Linked DNA regions of Nothobranchius furzeri. The main gene of each other region encodes a partner of the protein of the gene in region 2 in a complex. Links are inferred from orthologs where the notes say so. Each region holds a gene or a part of one and is shown on either strand. Other genes may lie near its edges. The genes, in order: ubiquitin carboxyl-terminal hydrolase 15, sart3, ccnt1 and usp4.

Region 1 (4,081 bases), on a different chromosome or scaffold from region 2:
GTTTAGTGTGAAGTAAAGTTGAAGTGCTGAAGTTTTGAAAACTAATTTTGAATGAAACTTGAAGAATAACTGGCAATTGCGTGCTCATTTGAAGAGGTCTTTCATATTTTATAACATGCTAATTTATATAATGGTTTACAAACACAAAAGGGTCATTTATTAGAGTACTCGATTAATTGATAAAAGATTCAATAGAGTACTCGATTACGAAAATATTCGATAGCTGCAGCCCTAGTTCATGCAAACTTGAGTAATAAAAACATCAGATATGGATCTGATTTAGGGTGACAGAAAGCAGAGTGAATCTGATTTGTCCTGTTCTGACAAACAAATGTCAGATCTGTATACTGGTAAGAAATTTATTTTCAAACATACTCACTTAGATAATCATTCAGTCAGAGTTACATCATTAATCCATTCATTTTTTCTCTCTCAATGTCTTAAAATTTGTTTGATCTCCAAAGTGTTTTTTCTTGATCCTACTGGCACAAATCTAATCCCATAGCAATGGTCCATGTATTAGCATCTTCTTGAACACTATTAGATAGCTCGGTTCTGGGCTGCCCACTGGATTCAGTATAGGAGATGTGTGATAGGAGGATGGGGAAGATGACCTCCATTTAAAAAAAAACCTCCCACTGTGGAGACCATGGACAGCTCCTGCAGAGGCAGATGGAGACATCCCAGACGTAAAATGTCACTTTTACTTGTCAAAATTTAAATGAAAGCTATACTCACTTACATTCTTAATACAAACATTTTTCTCAAGTATTTTAGGGATGTCTGGTATTGTTGTAGATGTCTAAAATGAGGGATTAAATGATAGATATCGGAAATAATAATTTTCTTAATATGAGAGGAGTTCTGTTTAAGACATCTGACAATTTTAATCCAGCTAATTAGAGTAAAAACCCAACTTGCATACATGAATTTGGCTTTTTTTTCAGTTCTTGAGAGCTAAAGAAAAATTTCCACCACGGTGGACAGTTAAGTGTCATTCTATTCTATTCTATTCTATTCTATTCTATTCTATTCTATTCTATTTGTCCTGTAACGATTGTTGGAGCTATCTGAATTTTTTTCCAGGTCGCAGGTATTTATTGCTCTCTAATATGTTTATTTTGACCTAATGGAATTGAATGACAAAGCACCTTTAGCCTATCTTAAATGTGAAAAGAGCTTGCCACACCTTCCTCTGCACCGCTGCTTGGCTCCTGATTGGTGTCAGTAGATCAATTACGCTCAACGTGCGTCGATGACGCCGCACGCTTTTCCCACCATGCAACGTTCGAGTAAAGATGGCCGAAGGAGGAGCGGCTGATCTGGATACTCAGAGAGGAGAGATCACGACACTATTGAAAACACAGCTTAGGAAAGGGGACACCTGGTAAGGCATGAACCGAGATCTCTCTTGAGGGACTGCGTGGCCGCCGCCTGGCTCTGCTGCGAGTGACAAAGCCACAAATGTTAGAAAAGCCGAGGTGACGGGCCGTGTTGACAGTGAGGCGTTTGGGTTGCTAACGAGAGCGTTCCAGCTAACCGCTGGCTCTGGTCAGTTTAAATGAAGAACTGACTCTTAACGTTTAAATTCTGAACTCTACGCGCAATTGTAATCCGTTCTAAACGAATAATGTTGTTTTTATCTGATTTCATGACCTTAACAATACTAAAGAGCCTGTTGGGTAAGTAGCAGGCTAATTTAGCTACTTGGTTAGCATGTGTCGCTCCAAGTGATTTTCCAGTCAGGGGGTTCGTCTGTCGACTTTAGTTGGGCGGAGTCGGTAAAAAAAAAAACACCTGTCAAAATCTCAGAGCCAGCTGGCTGGGATTGCAGCAATCTGAACTCCACCTACCGTCAATAAATCAGCTGTTGGGTGTAGTGTTTGCCTCTCAGAGTCTTTTAAAACACTGTTGTTATTGAGTAAACCGTGGTGGTCTCCTCTAGGTATTTAGTGGACAGTCGCTGGTTCAAACAGTGGAAGAAATATGTGGGATTTGACAGCTGGGATAAATACCAGATGGGGGACCAGAATGTTTACCCCGGACCGGTGGATAACTCTGGCCTACTCAAAGGTAAGACCGGTGAAAACTCAAACTACTAAACTAGGTCCTACATTAATATTTCTGTTTACCTGTTGTTTGTTCCTCTTTCTTCAGCTGTGGTTGATTACCATCGTGCATGTTTTAATATTTAGTTGTTTCAGAGAATATCTGTCAAAGTCAGTTTAGGTAGGTTTTTCTAGCAAATAAATACAGCAAAACAGAAGATTGTAAAGTTCAGTATTAATAATCTAATATTTTAATAATTGTGTCTCTGCTGAGTGTCTTCATTCTGAAATTACCGACAATTTCAGCAAAATGGAGACAAAGCTAGAATTGTCTACTGACTTCATAGAAGCTCCCCAGCCTACCTTTTGTTTTTTTGTGTGAGAAAGCACACAGTCAGTGATGCGTTCTTTGTTCTGATTGTGTTTCTCGTCCTCTCCTTTCATCCCTTGTTCCCTCTCTTTCTAGATGGGGATGTGCTGGCCATCAAGGACCACCTCATCGATGAGCTCGACTACATCCTGGTCCCTGCCGAAGGCTGGAATAAACTTGTCAGCTGGTATGGACTGTCAGAAGGTCAGGAACCAATCGCACGCAAGGTAAAGGTTCAGAACCCTGGAAGGGCATTTATTGAGTGTTAGTGATGGAGAGATAAGGCAGCTTTTCTTTAATGGACTGTAAGAGTCTTACTAATGGCTGCTGCTTTGTGGTGGAGTCCATTGAAATGTTTTCTGTCTACAGAATCAGTTTGTTTACAGGATGATTCTTACATTTCAGCGTAAAAACAAAATATTTCAACCAGGATTAACAAAGATTATACAACATTTAGATGAAAGATCAGTATAAAATATAATTAGTTTTTTGGAATACATTAGGATTGCAACTTAAGTATTAATTTCTCCACTTCAGATTTTGCTAATCATGCCATCATGGCTGCTGGAGGAGGTCGTCCCCCCCCCCCCCCCCCGGCACCACTGTATTCCTCTCTTCGTTTCCGTTGACCCTCCCTCTTTTCCCATGTATGTCATGGCACGTATCGGGTGGCTACAGGGTTTCTATTTTCAGGCAACGTTCTGGGTGACTGTAAAGCTACATGGAGCGGTCTACAAGACACAACATGCAGGAGGTTTATAAATAATCTGTTTTTCTCTCTTTTTGAACTTATTTTGCCATCCTGTGCTGTGGGAGAGTGCATAAGTTTGAGTGGGATTCAGGAGGACTGCTGTCAGCGGGTTCGTCTTCCACAGTCCTCAGCTGGTGTTGCTGTTAACACCGGTGGAGCGTTCTTGAGCCCTTGTTTTTTGGAGTGGAGGAATTCCTGCTGAGGTCACTCTGAGAGTAGCAGCGCGAAGGATTGAGAGAGGAGTGTGACCAGTATGGGAGGAGGAATGGGGTGGGTGGGGTAAATAGTTTTTAACTGAGCTCTAATTTGAGGAATTCTGTTAGAGTTTGGCCCTTGGGTTGTACTTACGTCCTCTCGATTTAAAATGGCACTGACTTTTTCTGAGCAGCTCTGTCGGCCCAACAGAACATCCAGGCTTGGTTCGGGGCAGGGCTGGAGGTGATGCATGACCGGTGCAGTTCTCAGTGTCGTTTGTGAAAGTAGTACTGTGTGTGTGTGTATATATATATACATGCGTGTGTGTTGGAGAGGCTCAGTGGTGAAATAAATAGGTTCAGACCCCCTCAGCTGTTTCCACAAGGTGCTGCTATAATTAGATCTTCACTCTAACTCCGATTTTGTCAGAGGACTTGATAAGTAGCAGCCAGGGCAGCAGATTGGACTTCTGTTTGTTGCACAAATCTAGATAAAAAAAGACTATTTAAATGTGTTGTTTTATTTTTCTGCATTTACTTTATTTAGTTCAGTATAACAAGCAGGAACCTGCAGCCTATAATGGTTTGGATTGATCATTATGACACTAGATTTAATCTTTTGGTGATAATTGTTGTTTGATAATCATTTGTTTTGGCACAAATGCTCTGCTCCACTGTAACACCAGAATGCTGGAAATAACATGTGACTGAACTTTTA
Region 2 (4,251 bases):
AACTGTTTTAGACACAGATCTGCTCTCACCTTTAGAGAAATCCACACGTCTCCTCAGGTAGTCCAGGTAGGCCTGCCAAATTTCTACATAATCTGTGGCTTGAATGAAGCCTGCGTTCAGAGCCTTCTCAAAAACATCTGTGCAGAAGAGATTAACATCAATCTGCTTCACAAACGCTTGACACTAATAAAGCAGCTGACTGGTCGACTTGATGCTGAACCTAGCCGCTACCTGACACAGTGTGATGGTCACTGCCATGCCTCTCCAGGGCCAACAGGTAGCTCTTCCACAGACTCATGGTCCACGGGCAGTTCCTGACCGCTCGCTCGTGAGTGGACAGAACCAAGTCTTTGATCTTCAGCTGACGATCCTGTAAAACCAGTAAGGACCTTTTACACTCTGACTAGCTGTGATTTTTTCATTTATTTACTTCTGAAACCTTAGATGCTGTAATGACACGACTGCGAACAGTAACCAATACTCACGAGATATGTGGTGTATTTAGTCCACATGTCTGGAACCAGGCAGTTCTCAGCCAGAGCTCGCTCGAAGGTAATCTGGATCCGTGGTGGGTCCCCCTCCTTTAGCTCAAACTCAATGTAGGCCTGATATTCTGCCAGTTTAGGAGGTTCTGCTACCAGCTAGAGAAAGATATAGCAGAAATGACATGCGCTGCAAAAACACTTTGTGCAAACCACTTAAAAAAAAGATAAGTGTTCAGTTACCAGAGCTTCTTCATAAGATTTGCACTTCTGCATCTGCTGCAAAGCCTTTTTGTACTGATGGACGACAGTCTCAGGAACCCCGTTTTCAGACCACTCCTCATACTCAGCATAGGTGGTTTCCATTTCTGCAAAAGCAGTAAGCAATTTAAACTTGTTCATCGAAGAAGTCGTGACATCCAGCCAGCCCATCTGTGCAGAAGCCATCTGGACAGAGGAGGTGCCATGCCTACCCATTAGTGGAACGGCCAGCTGGCGGCGAAACAATGTATGGATTCGCTCGAGCTGATTGTTGAGCAGTTCCTGCTCCTCGTGGCTGGGAATCCTGCCAGGGGGAGGCTGAGAGCAAAGACGGGAGAGTAAATTAGGATGAAAAACAGCCAATTTAGTCAAAAATCTAAAGGAATTCTTTCCAGGCATAGATATGAGAGCATGCTTTGAATCAATAAAATAAGACATTTACTTATCTATCTAGACTGCAATAGAATACAGAAACATCATCATTCTACATAAATATTATTAAATTATTTAGAAATACTGAGTACATGGTTGACCAGTGAGCAGCACAAACCTGCAACGTAGACAAAAGTGCATTCTCAAACTCTCTGTAGGCCTCCCACAGCGTCTGCCCCTTGGTCATGTGGAGTCCCACCGCTGTTACCGCTCTCTCAAAGATAGATCTGACCTTGTCTATCCCACCAGGTGACCCCATGCCACCAATTGAATACTGGGCATATTCAAGCCAGATCTCTGGGCCTGTTCAACCAGTCACAGAATAAAATGATTCAGACCATTAAAACAGCTGAATGTTAGAATAAATTCAACAACAGCAGTATAGTTGACTCACAAATGTAGTCTTTAACAGCTCTCTCAAACAGCTCGTACACTTTCTCCCGATTTGCATCCTCCTCAGTCAGACGGATTTCATCCTTGAGCCAGTCCAGCCAGATCTCTGCAAACATACACCAAAATGTCATTTCAGTGGCAGACGACACAAAGCTGCTGGTTCCTTGGAATTGGCAGCTGGATTAGACGTGAACCAACCTTCAGTGAGAGGGAAAAGCTCGCTCATCTTCTGCCTCGCCTTTCTCAGACGAAAAAGTTCTCCCTCGTGCTTCAGGAGTTTGATCAGATCCACATGACAGTTGTAGTCAAAAGCGTTGATCGAAAGCTGCAAAAGTGCAAAAAGAGACACGAGCGTCATGTTGAATCATTAAACTAATTTTACATAATTTTCTTTTTGAGTTTATTGATCTTTAATTAATGAAAAAGCAATCCAGTAAGTTAGTTTTACTGCCAAAAACAGCTGATGTAAAGATTCAAGCCTAATTGTAGGGGTGGAGCAACAAGCAATAAATACATTAACAAATAAATAAATCGGATTGTTTAGACCCCAGACTAAGTCCAGTAATTGTAGTAGTAAACTTGTTTTTTTTTTCATGTGAAAAAGCATTTTATTTCTACAAATGATGCACTTGTGAGTTGTGCTCGAACATGTTTATTAGTTACACTAAAGTTAGGACAGGTGACCCTCGTTCTTAGTACGTATAAAGCTGTTTCCATGCCCAGGTCGCAAAAAGGCGCGTGCTGCAGGACCAAACGTTAGCATCGGAGGTTAGCACGGGCTAATCACGACGTGTGATTCATGCCGTGAACTACGCAGTTGCCTAAATGTTTTAATGAACATATGAACTATTTATTCTGGTTTAAATCAAAACCTATAAAGGGATGAGCAACACGCAATGAGTTTGAAACCTCACGAGTTTCTGCGTTCAGCACTCATTCATTCTCATTAGCTTCCACGGCTAATGTTGACTAATCAGGCTTGGCAGGATTGTTGACCAATTACCTGCTCCTCCAATCGCTGGATCTCGGCTTCATTTTCTTTCTCGTCCTCCGACGATTCGTCCTCTTCGTCGTCTGAATTTTCTACACCCATGCCTTCTTCCTCGTCCGATTCCATCTCTCTTTCCTCTACTCCTGCTTCGTCCTCCTCCATATCCTGCAACTGCGTTTGCTCTGCGTTGCCTGGCGCTGCCATATTGAAAAGTCTGTCTGCCTGGTAACAACAAGCCTAGCCCGAAGAACAGAGGCGTGGGTTGGGCAAGCCGATTTATCATATAAAAAATTTGTAATAACGAGAGTCGCATCATCTCAATCCCATTAATCTGAAATAACGGGTATAAATAAAAGTGACGACAAAATTAAAATCTCATTAGTCCGTGATACGGCAAATATGAAATAATTTTAAGCATTTGAGAACATGCCTAATTAGTAGAAACAATATAAATGCAAATATCCAAGATAACTGGGAACTCTTAAAACTTCAGTTGGGTGGAATAAAATAAATTGTTATTTTATTTACAGGCCTCATAGCAAGTCAGAAAGAATTGCAGATGTCTGAAATTTGAGTTTCTTTCTGTAATATTTATTTTTCATGTTTCCATCTTGTTTATTCTGAATAAATAATTTACCATCTCACGATAAAGACTAATTTCACATTAATTAATTAAGTTATGTTAACTATAATTGTTTTTAAGGAATTCTCAATATTTCAAACGCTGATTGTGGATGGAAATGTTTCGGTATATCAAATGTTTTTGAGGGGGAAGAAATTAGTTATACAAAGATGCAATTAAAAATGAAATAGCAATTCATACCACTCTAGTCATTAAATGTTAATATCAACAAAAACGTTTGACTATTTTAACATCTGACATCAACATCTTACAGGTTTAAAACACTTCAGTGATTAAATTATATGTTACAAAGTTTTGCCGTTTCCACCACGCATCCCGGGAAACTGCAGTAGCCACTATTCACCGCTAGTGGCGCGCAGTTGTTATGAAAACACTTTTCTGACAGAAAGAGTTCGCCGTCGTTCGGGTTCACTCGTTAATTTCCGCTTACGGTCGGCGTCCAAACATGGCGACTGCCTCCTTGCGAAATTCTTCTTCTCTGTTTTCATCATTTCACCAAAGGTTTTTCAGACCAAAGCTGACCGTTCTTTGCTCATATCATAAAAAGGTAACCGACCAAAGAATGTCATTGACTTTGTGTGAAGTAAAGTCCTCGGTTTGTTTGTTTGTGTGGTGTTAGAAGTCAACGCAAGTCCTGAAACATTAATGCATTTAATTAACTGTCCTGAAGGTGGTGGACCATTATGAAAACCCGAGGAATGTGGGCTCTTTGGACAAGAACTCCAAGAGCGTGGGGACCGGACTGGTGGGTGCTCCAGCCTGTGGTGATGTTATGAAACTTCAGGTAAGCTGAAACAAAACTGCCGTTAAAGACTTTTCACTCATAAACGACACCCGGCGGTATTATTCATGCTGTTTCCAGATCCAAGTGGATGAAGATGGCAAAATATCTGATGCAAAATTCAAAACATTCGGCTGCGGATCCGCCATCGCCTCCAGCTCTTTAGCTACAGAGTGGGTGAAGGGGAAATCGGTAGGGCAAGAATTATTACATTTATGAAGACTGTTCTTGTTTTAGAGCAGAAGGTCTGAATAACCTGATCCCACCC
Region 3 (3,048 bases), on a different chromosome or scaffold from region 2:
CTAGTAGAACAAATCATTCACATGTTAATATATACCTCTAAATATTAATCACGTTAATATCTAATAATAATTAATATGTACACCTAATCAGGTATATTATAATTAATGAATAATTATCTAATAATACAATAAACACTGTTAAAGCTATTACAATTTTCTCCCGTTATTATGGTTTTTTTGTGTGCTTGTGAAGCAATTTGTGATTTTTATCTAGAGAGGTGCTTTATAATGAACATGTTCTTGTTCTACTCCAAAAATGCAAGGAGGATATCTGAATGTAGAAACAGTTTTCAAATGTATTAATTAACGAAAAATATACACAGTTTTCCCTGCATTACCAAGGCAGGCTGCACGCTTTTCTAAGCCGTCTGATAGTTTTTCATCACTAAATCTCAGCTATAAAGCCTGGTTAGTGCTGCGGACAGCTCCATGAGAAAGACGCAATGTGTGCCATCTGAAAAAATCAAACATTTTTTAAAAGAAAAGTTGATCTTTCAAGTCAACTAAAGTGCACGACTCCGCACTCGCACTGATGAAGCATAAACCAAGCTCTAGCAGCGCTGTGTGTGGAAAAATAAAACAGGGAAAATAACCTAAATGTGCAGCTCTGTCAGCTGGGCTCGGCTCCAGACAGTACACCCCATTAGGGTTGGGCATTGTTTGGTTTTGAACGATTCTGATTTCGATTCCGGTTCCTATCGATTCCAATTCTTTCAAGACATGACATGTTTTAAATGAGCCAGCTAACCACAGGTCCTGCTTGATGAAATTATCTTAACCTCATCATGAATTTTAATTCTATGAACAATAACATCATCTTCATTTAGACAAAAACATGTTTTCAAGAAAAAAAGAAAAAGACTTGCAGCACAATCAGTGTGTTTGTTTCTGACCACAACCAAAGTCTGGAAGAAGCCTCTGGGATGAGAGGCTAAATGTCTCCGACATATCCAGAAACGTCCAGCTGTTTTCTGCTAAAACTCTCAGGATGATCATGTCCAGGATGACTGAGAACTACACCTCCATGCTGCAGCAGCTTCAGTCAGAACAGAGACTGAAACTTAAATGTAGCTGCTGTCAGTAACAATCTAACAGATTTTAAAACTCTTAACAGATATAGTTCAGAAAGGAAATTTCACAACTTTGTGTGTGATTTATTATTATTTATTATTTATTATCCCTTTCCTAGTGGCAGAAGCTGGTGTGGTCCACCACAAAGAAGCTTCTCTAGCATTATGACTTTAATTATTCTACAGGTTATTCAGCCTTCTGACGCTCACACTCACACACACACACGAGTGTTGGTGAGCGGCTGCGTCTGACTGCTGACGTGTGTGTTTTTATTTCTGCAGTGAGACAATCTCACACCATCCAGAGTTTGTTCTTTAAAGCTTCTAGTAAGTCCACTGTGTTGCCGTATTTTAACGTTTCCTCTACGCTGCAGGAGTTAAAGTTTACATTACGGGGTAAAAGTTCGGCAGACGCATTTGTTTATATTTGGCCGCTGCGTGCACGGTTGGGGGAGGGGGGACTTGGTGCTGCAGACAGACAGCTGGTGTGATCAGCTCTGAAAAGCGTTGATCACAATTAGCAGATCACGTTTATTTTTCATGGAGATTGGCCGCGGTTTCCTTTTCCGGTCGGCATACTAAGAATCGAAAACTAGGAATTGAAGTAAAAAACTTTGAACGACTCCATGAAAAACTAACAGTTGGTCCCAGTTCCAATCGATGCTCGATTCCCAACCCTACACCGTATCCCTTCCCCCGCGCTGGCTGTTGCCGTCGCTGTAACACAGGGGGAAACCCCGAATGTAAAAGTTACACAACATATCCTGGATCAGTCAAAACCGCCCCAAAACCCCAGCTTTGACGATCATGTGATCGTGCTGTTTGAAATCGCAATTTCGGTCCCAAAAAAAAAAAAACGATAGATCGTTCAGCCCTAGGTGACAGCCCCATCTAGTGGACAACTTTTGTTTCTGCGCACACCTGTAGTTATTGTCCATTTATCGTTATCGAGGTGAAATGCTCAATATATAATGATATTGATTTTAGGCCGTATCGCCCAGCCCTACTTGAGTTTATCTTAATTTTTAAAATCTTTTGCAGAACTTACTCACGAGTTCCTTCAAATCCTGGAGAAAACACCCAGTCGGCTGAAACGCATTCGCAACTGGAAGGTACACGTTTTATTTTCCCACCCACTTGATACAATCTGGTCTTTCTGCAATTTGTAAATTTTAATGAACTTTAATCTTTGACTTTTTGGCATTTTAGGCTGGCGGTCAGACACCCAAAGTCAAGCCAAAGATTCAGGAAGATGGCGACCAGAGGGACACCATGATCAACATGATTTCTATGGCTTCATCAGAGAGTACTGTAGCGGGCCTGTTGAGCCTCTCAGCTCCACCGTCCACCTCCTCTTCATCATCTATCAGTGACAAGGACAGGGCTATGCCCATTAGTGCTCAGACGTGGAGTGGAAAGGGTCAGGCTGGAACTGAGCAGCAGCAGCAGCCCAACCATGAAGTGCACACCCCAGCAAAGGTATCCCTGAGTGAGTACCGTGCCAAAAATGCTGATGTCCTGGCAGCACAGAAGAGAAAGCTTGAGAACATGGAGGCCAGTGTGAAGAGGGAATATGCAAACGCAGCCCAGGCTCTCATTGGCCAGCAGCAGAGAAAGGAGAAGCAACAGCATCATCATCACCAGCAGTCCAGTTCCTCTTCCTCCTCTGACATGCCCAACCCATCACCCATTATTCTTAAAATTCCCTTGGAGAAGGAGAGGCATCTGAAAATGCGTTTTCCACACACCGGAGCAGTCAGTGACGCCACTCGAGGTCAGGATCCAGACATCAAAGTAAAAATACGAGTGCCTGAGAAGCAAAGAGGGAGTTCTGGAGAGGAGGGCAAGAGTAGCAGGGACAAGCACAGGGACCGTGCATACCATCATCACCATCATCACAACCATCATCCTCACCACCATTCCTCCTCTTCTAGCAGTGCTTCAGTTTCTTCTTCACACAAACATTCATCTGCTTCCA
Region 4 (4,192 bases), on a different chromosome or scaffold from region 2:
CCTTTCTTTTTACCAAGTTCAGCTGGCCTGGCAAGCCAGACTAAATAAATGTATTATTTAGTCTGGCCACGCTCCATTGACGGCTCTCGGTTGTGGGGCGGGTTCTACCGTTGTCTTTCAAATGATCTCCGCATTCCACTGGACAATGAATGTGACATACTCTTGTTTCACTCTGTTGCATCATCCCACCCACCAGGCACATAGAGTGCCCTGATTGGCCCACAAAGCGGATAAAGCTCTGTGATTTGTTCACTAAGCAGATAGAGCACTATGATTGGCCCACCATTATGGACCAATCACAGCTCTTTATGTGCTTGAACCCCCTCTAGAGAGCTGTGATTGGCTAGCCAGAGTCCTGGTAGGAGCTGCTGAGGTTCCAGTGGAGCATTCCTAGACCAATCTTTGCAAAGCAAGAATTTGGTCTAGTTCACTAGGCTAAAGTTCAGCATCTATTTAAGTTAAAAGTGAAACAATTCTTGTTTACCTCTACCAAACGTATAAAAAAAGTCACAGGAAACGTTTAACAACCCAACCAAAGCTACTCCTCAACAAGATAAACAATAATGCACGTCTCACTGCAGGGCTAATGAGCTGCTTTGCATTAGGCTCCATCATTTTTCTGATTTTATGTCTGTGAATGAATAATTTATGCAGACAGTACTAATATGCTACAAAGGTTGTGCTGTTTCAGTGGATCAGTGTTCTTTAAGGTCATTGGAATAACTAAAACTACCTGTCCCTGGAAGAGTCCGGCATCCTGTACAGTGCTGTCTGGCTTATTCAGCTGCTCATACGTGTTGCTCATGTATTTGTTCCAGAGTCGAGTCTCCTTTTCTGAAGGGATATTAAACAACTTCCGCATCTCCTTCTCTATTGTATCTGGAAACAAACACGTATAATGAACCAGGGCTGTCAGCATCTGCTTTAAGTTCACTTTGAGATCACACAGTAATTCTTACCTATGGTGTCAGCTTTACTAAAATGGCGCGTGATGACGTTGTCCATGTTGTCATTCTCACACAGGTTGAGCTCCAGCAGATAGACTTCCACCTTACAGTGCTTCACAAACATGCCATGTTCAACCACCTAGAGGCCAGAGACAGTCAACGCCTTGCAAAGCTTGGTGAAACAGAAAGAGGAAGACAACTCTTCAATGGGACTACCTTCCTGACGATTGGTTTCTGGCCCTCGAGACAGCTGTACCAGCTGACAAGCTTGTTCCATGCCTCCGTGGGTACAAGGACATAGTCTAGTTCATCTATAAGGTGCTCTTTCAGGGCCTGAGTGTCCTGGTCTAGGAGACAAAAATAAATAATACACCAACTTTTAACGGGGGCTGCTGGAAAGATTAAAAATAAAACAAGACAGGACTCTTGATAAAATACCTGAGAATAGTCCAGAGTTATCAATTGGTCCCGGATAGAGGCTACGTTCTCCAACATTGTACATATCCCAGCTGTCAAACCCCACATACTTTTTCCATTGTTTGAACCACCGGCTGTCTATTAGATACCTAGGACAAATGAATGAATTGTTATTACGTAAATAACAATGAACACAACGATCCTCAAGAATTACCCTAAATAATAACCACCAATGTCTATAGTTATCAGATAATGAATATAGAACAGGATAAAGGATAAGAACCACTGCCTCCTGCAGACACAAAACATTATGTAACACCACAATTCCCTGGCAGTTATAGTAACAGCAAGCCAGTTTTACTTAATCTCGTCTAAAGAATCACCTTTAGTTAATTGGCTTCAAGAGATATCTAGTAACAAACATTCATTCATTCAGTAATGTCCCAGGTATGTCCGTGTCTTGTGTTCCCTTTGACACGTTAGGTTTTATTAAACTGTGTCTGATTAAAGCCAGGATAAGTGTAGCATCGTGAAAGGTCATCTACTAATAACTGAGTGACTGAACAAACGTGGAGCTAAAGAGTTAACCGTTTGTATTTTCTATGTTAATGCCCTTATATTAACTAAGAGAACACACATGTTACCTAGTTTAGATCTCACAGCTTATTATCTAAACTGAAGTTGTTGATTTTTTTTATTTTACTTTAATTATAGGCACGTATAGATTTTTCCACGATAATACTTAATTTGTGAAATATGGGCTCTTTTCAATGCCCTAGCTACGTTATAACCAGGCCTGGATGCTCTTAAAGATTTAAAACGGTGTGAAAAGAGTGACAGTAAAGAAATGCCATATCATATCAGCGAACCTGATTGAGCAACAAGCCGGCTGGACTCGAATCATCTGACTACGGGGCCTTCTAGCTAGCACATCGGTTGGCTCCGATAACGTATTACAAAACGAGATAACTTTGTGTTACTCAACAACATGTTATTTACGTGATTAGTCTGCTGCTCCCAGCCAAAATAGCTGATTCCTTAACGATACACTCCATGTAACAGAAATTGTGAAGAGCTTTGGTTAGCAGCTAGCGTGCTAATCCATGTTACATTAGCTTGCTATTTAGCAATACAGCTTTCTGTTTCATTGCTTTATACGCCTATTAGCTGTAGCATGTTAGCACTTCCGGTTTCTCGCAAGCTAACGCAGGAGCCTCAGATAGGGTTGAACTTAGCTGATTCTTACCATTCGTCCCCTCTTTTTAAAGTTGTTTTCAATAGTGACCCAATAGTTTGTTTCTGATTTTCCGTTGATGGGGTAGGTATTTGTGCGGCTACCGGCTCCGAGTCGGAGTCTGCCGCGCTACCCGAATCGGGTCCGCCTCCCTCAGCCATCATGCAGCCAGTGTGCCGGTATCGTGAACGCGCTAAAACTAAGCACATGGACGAGCTGTGTTCTTTTCATCCCCTATTCCCCTCTAGCAGAGGCGGTTCTAGAGCTTTACTTTTAGGGGTCCACAACTACAAACGTGACTTGCAAAAAGAACCAGAAGTGTCTTCTCTGTCACAAATAAGACTGAAAGCTGGGGTACATACACATTTTTTAATGGTTTTGGTTTCACAATCCTCTCCAGGGTGTGGCTTGTACACTTTTTTTAATCACATTGTCCTTCCATTCACCTCTCTTTAAATGTGCTTAGCTTATACACAGCTCTTTAGCAACCATCAGTCAGTATGTACAGTCTATGTACAGTATGTACTAGGATTGTCACGATACTAAAATTTCAAACTCGATTCGATACTTGGACAAAAACCGATACTCGATTTCGATACTATTTAAAAACACCCATTTATCGAACAAGTTTATTCAAAAAATAACATTCCTCACATTATATTACAAAAATTAAATGTTAAGAATTAAGTGTATTAAGTGCTTAAACCTTTAAAGTATCAGCATTTTTTAAAACGTGCATACAAAAACTGGTGAAAGTTAACATTTTAAATCATGAATTGTCTCACTATATATACACTATTTGCAGAGTGATGTTTTGCTGCTTAAACTCTGTTTAAGGTGCATTTTTGTCATAAGCTGTAATGCCATATGTTTTGTTCTGTACTTTTGAACAACTCTGTTGGTCAATAAAGGGAGAAAACAAATTTCTCCACAGTAGGACAAAGGTACATCTACCGGTAATCTTAATAAAAACAGACTGGCGCACGGCAGTGACGTCATTAAAAGCGCCGGTTAGATTAGCCGCAGCTAGTCTGTTTACGCCTAGAAATCCCAGACCAGACCCGCTCCAAACGAACAGGGGAATCACGTTAATGATTCCTAACAAAACCTTTCGACATGAAGATGTTTTGGTGCAGATAATGTCCTATTTCGAGGCTGCACCATGGGTGCCCGTCCGCACCCGTTATATGGATATACGCTGACGGCGATTTGGTGATGGACCTACGGTAAATACCCCGGGGAATCCAAGTAGCACCAAAGTTGTCAGCGTGAGTAAACAAACGTACTGCATGCTAGAAATTAAGGCCGGGTTGCAATAAACGGGAGTTTCCTTTAAGCACATAAGCGTGAATATACAACTACATGTCGGACTAATTAAGTTGGGCTGTGAAGCGCCTCCCAAATTCGCTGTTTATGTTTTTGTTTATTTATTTGGCAGACAAAACTTGGATTGGAGACAACTCGCGTGGGAAATTGCAATGTAGCCATGCGGCGTCTTCTTCTGTTTGTCTGGGAGGCGGAGGCTGCTTTACGGCATCTGGCTGTCGTGCGTGTCGGTGTACTTGAAGAAGGCTGTGTATCATAGTCCATAATA

The links.
Region 1: the proteins of sart3 (region 2) and ubiquitin carboxyl-terminal hydrolase 15 are in contact, whole or in part, in a crystal structure (PDB 5JJW), measured with the Homo sapiens proteins. The link is inferred for Nothobranchius furzeri from reciprocal best matches to the Homo sapiens genes SART3 and USP15. Residues at the interface, in NP_055521.1 of Homo sapiens: Ser438, Ser439, Lys440, Glu443, Gln490, Arg493, Glu494, Trp496, Asp497, Met500, Thr501, Ala505, Trp511, Tyr514, Arg533, Cys537; in NP_001239007.1 of Homo sapiens: Ser23, Leu24, Asp48, Trp50, Gly121, Met122, Phe123, Val124, Lys125, His126, Lys128.
Region 3: sart3 (region 2) and ccnt1 share a complex: the UniProt entries of both Homo sapiens proteins name them as parts of the 7SK snRNP complex. The link is inferred for Nothobranchius furzeri from reciprocal best matches to the Homo sapiens genes SART3 and CCNT1.
Region 4: the proteins of sart3 (region 2) and usp4 are in contact, whole or in part, in a crystal structure (PDB 5CTR), measured with the Homo sapiens proteins. The link is inferred for Nothobranchius furzeri from reciprocal best matches to the Homo sapiens genes SART3 and USP4. Residues at the interface, in NP_055521.1 of Homo sapiens: Asp437, Ser438, Ser439, Lys440, Gln490, Arg493, Glu494, Trp496, Asp497, Met500, Thr501, Ala505, Trp511, Tyr514, Lys529, Arg533, Cys537; in NP_003354.2 of Homo sapiens: Met24, Thr27, Leu28, Ser53, Trp54, Glu123, Gly125, Leu126, Phe127, Val128, Lys129, His130, Cys131, Lys132.

Annotation. Positions count from the first base shown.
Region 1 is NC_091741.1:53,834,382-53,838,462, forward strand, and holds the start of ubiquitin carboxyl-terminal hydrolase 15, read left to right. Parts: upstream 1-1,253; 5' UTR 1,254-1,298; coding exon 1,299-1,387; intron 1,388-1,945; coding exon 1,946-2,073; intron 2,074-2,514; coding exon 2,515-2,645; intron 2,646-3,032; exon of another isoform or gene 3,033-3,139; coding exon of another isoform or gene 3,140-3,172; intron 3,173-4,081. UniProt on the Homo sapiens protein: Hydrolase that removes conjugated ubiquitin from target proteins and regulates various pathways such as the TGF-beta receptor signaling, NF-kappa-B and RNF41/NRDP1-PRKN pathways.
Region 2 is NC_091757.1:45,779,582-45,783,832, reverse strand, and holds the start of sart3 (squamous cell carcinoma antigen recognized by T-cells 3), read right to left. Parts: upstream 2,806-4,251; 5' UTR 2,764-2,805; coding exon 2,572-2,763; intron 1,894-2,571; coding exon 1,767-1,893; intron 1,675-1,766; coding exon 1,570-1,674; intron 1,479-1,569; coding exon 1,294-1,478; intron 1,062-1,293; coding exon 956-1,061; intron 851-955; coding exon 726-850; intron 642-725; coding exon 486-641; intron 371-485; coding exon 232-370; intron 138-231; coding exon 30-137; intron 1-29. Other genes in the region: iscua (iron-sulfur cluster assembly enzyme ISCU), read left to right, coding at 3,648-3,749, 3,873-3,986, 4,065-4,175. UniProt on the Homo sapiens protein: U6 snRNP-binding protein that functions as a recycling factor of the splicing machinery. Promotes the initial reassembly of U4 and U6 snRNPs following their ejection from the spliceosome during its maturation.
Region 3 is NC_091755.1:57,570,689-57,573,736, reverse strand, and holds part of ccnt1 (cyclin-T1), read left to right. Parts: intron 1-2,111; coding exon 2,112-2,182; intron 2,183-2,279; coding exon 2,280-3,048. UniProt on the Homo sapiens protein: Regulatory subunit of the cyclin-dependent kinase pair (CDK9/cyclin-T1) complex, also called positive transcription elongation factor B (P-TEFb), which facilitates the transition from abortive to productive elongation by phosphorylating the CTD (C-terminal domain) of the large subunit of RNA polymerase II (RNA Pol II).
Region 4 is NC_091743.1:47,676,932-47,681,123, forward strand, and holds the start of usp4 (ubiquitin carboxyl-terminal hydrolase 4), read right to left. Parts: upstream 2,803-4,192; 5' UTR 2,763-2,802; coding exon 2,611-2,762; intron 1,514-2,610; coding exon 1,386-1,513; intron 1,295-1,385; coding exon 1,164-1,294; intron 1,087-1,163; coding exon 960-1,086; intron 880-959; coding exon 734-879; intron 1-733.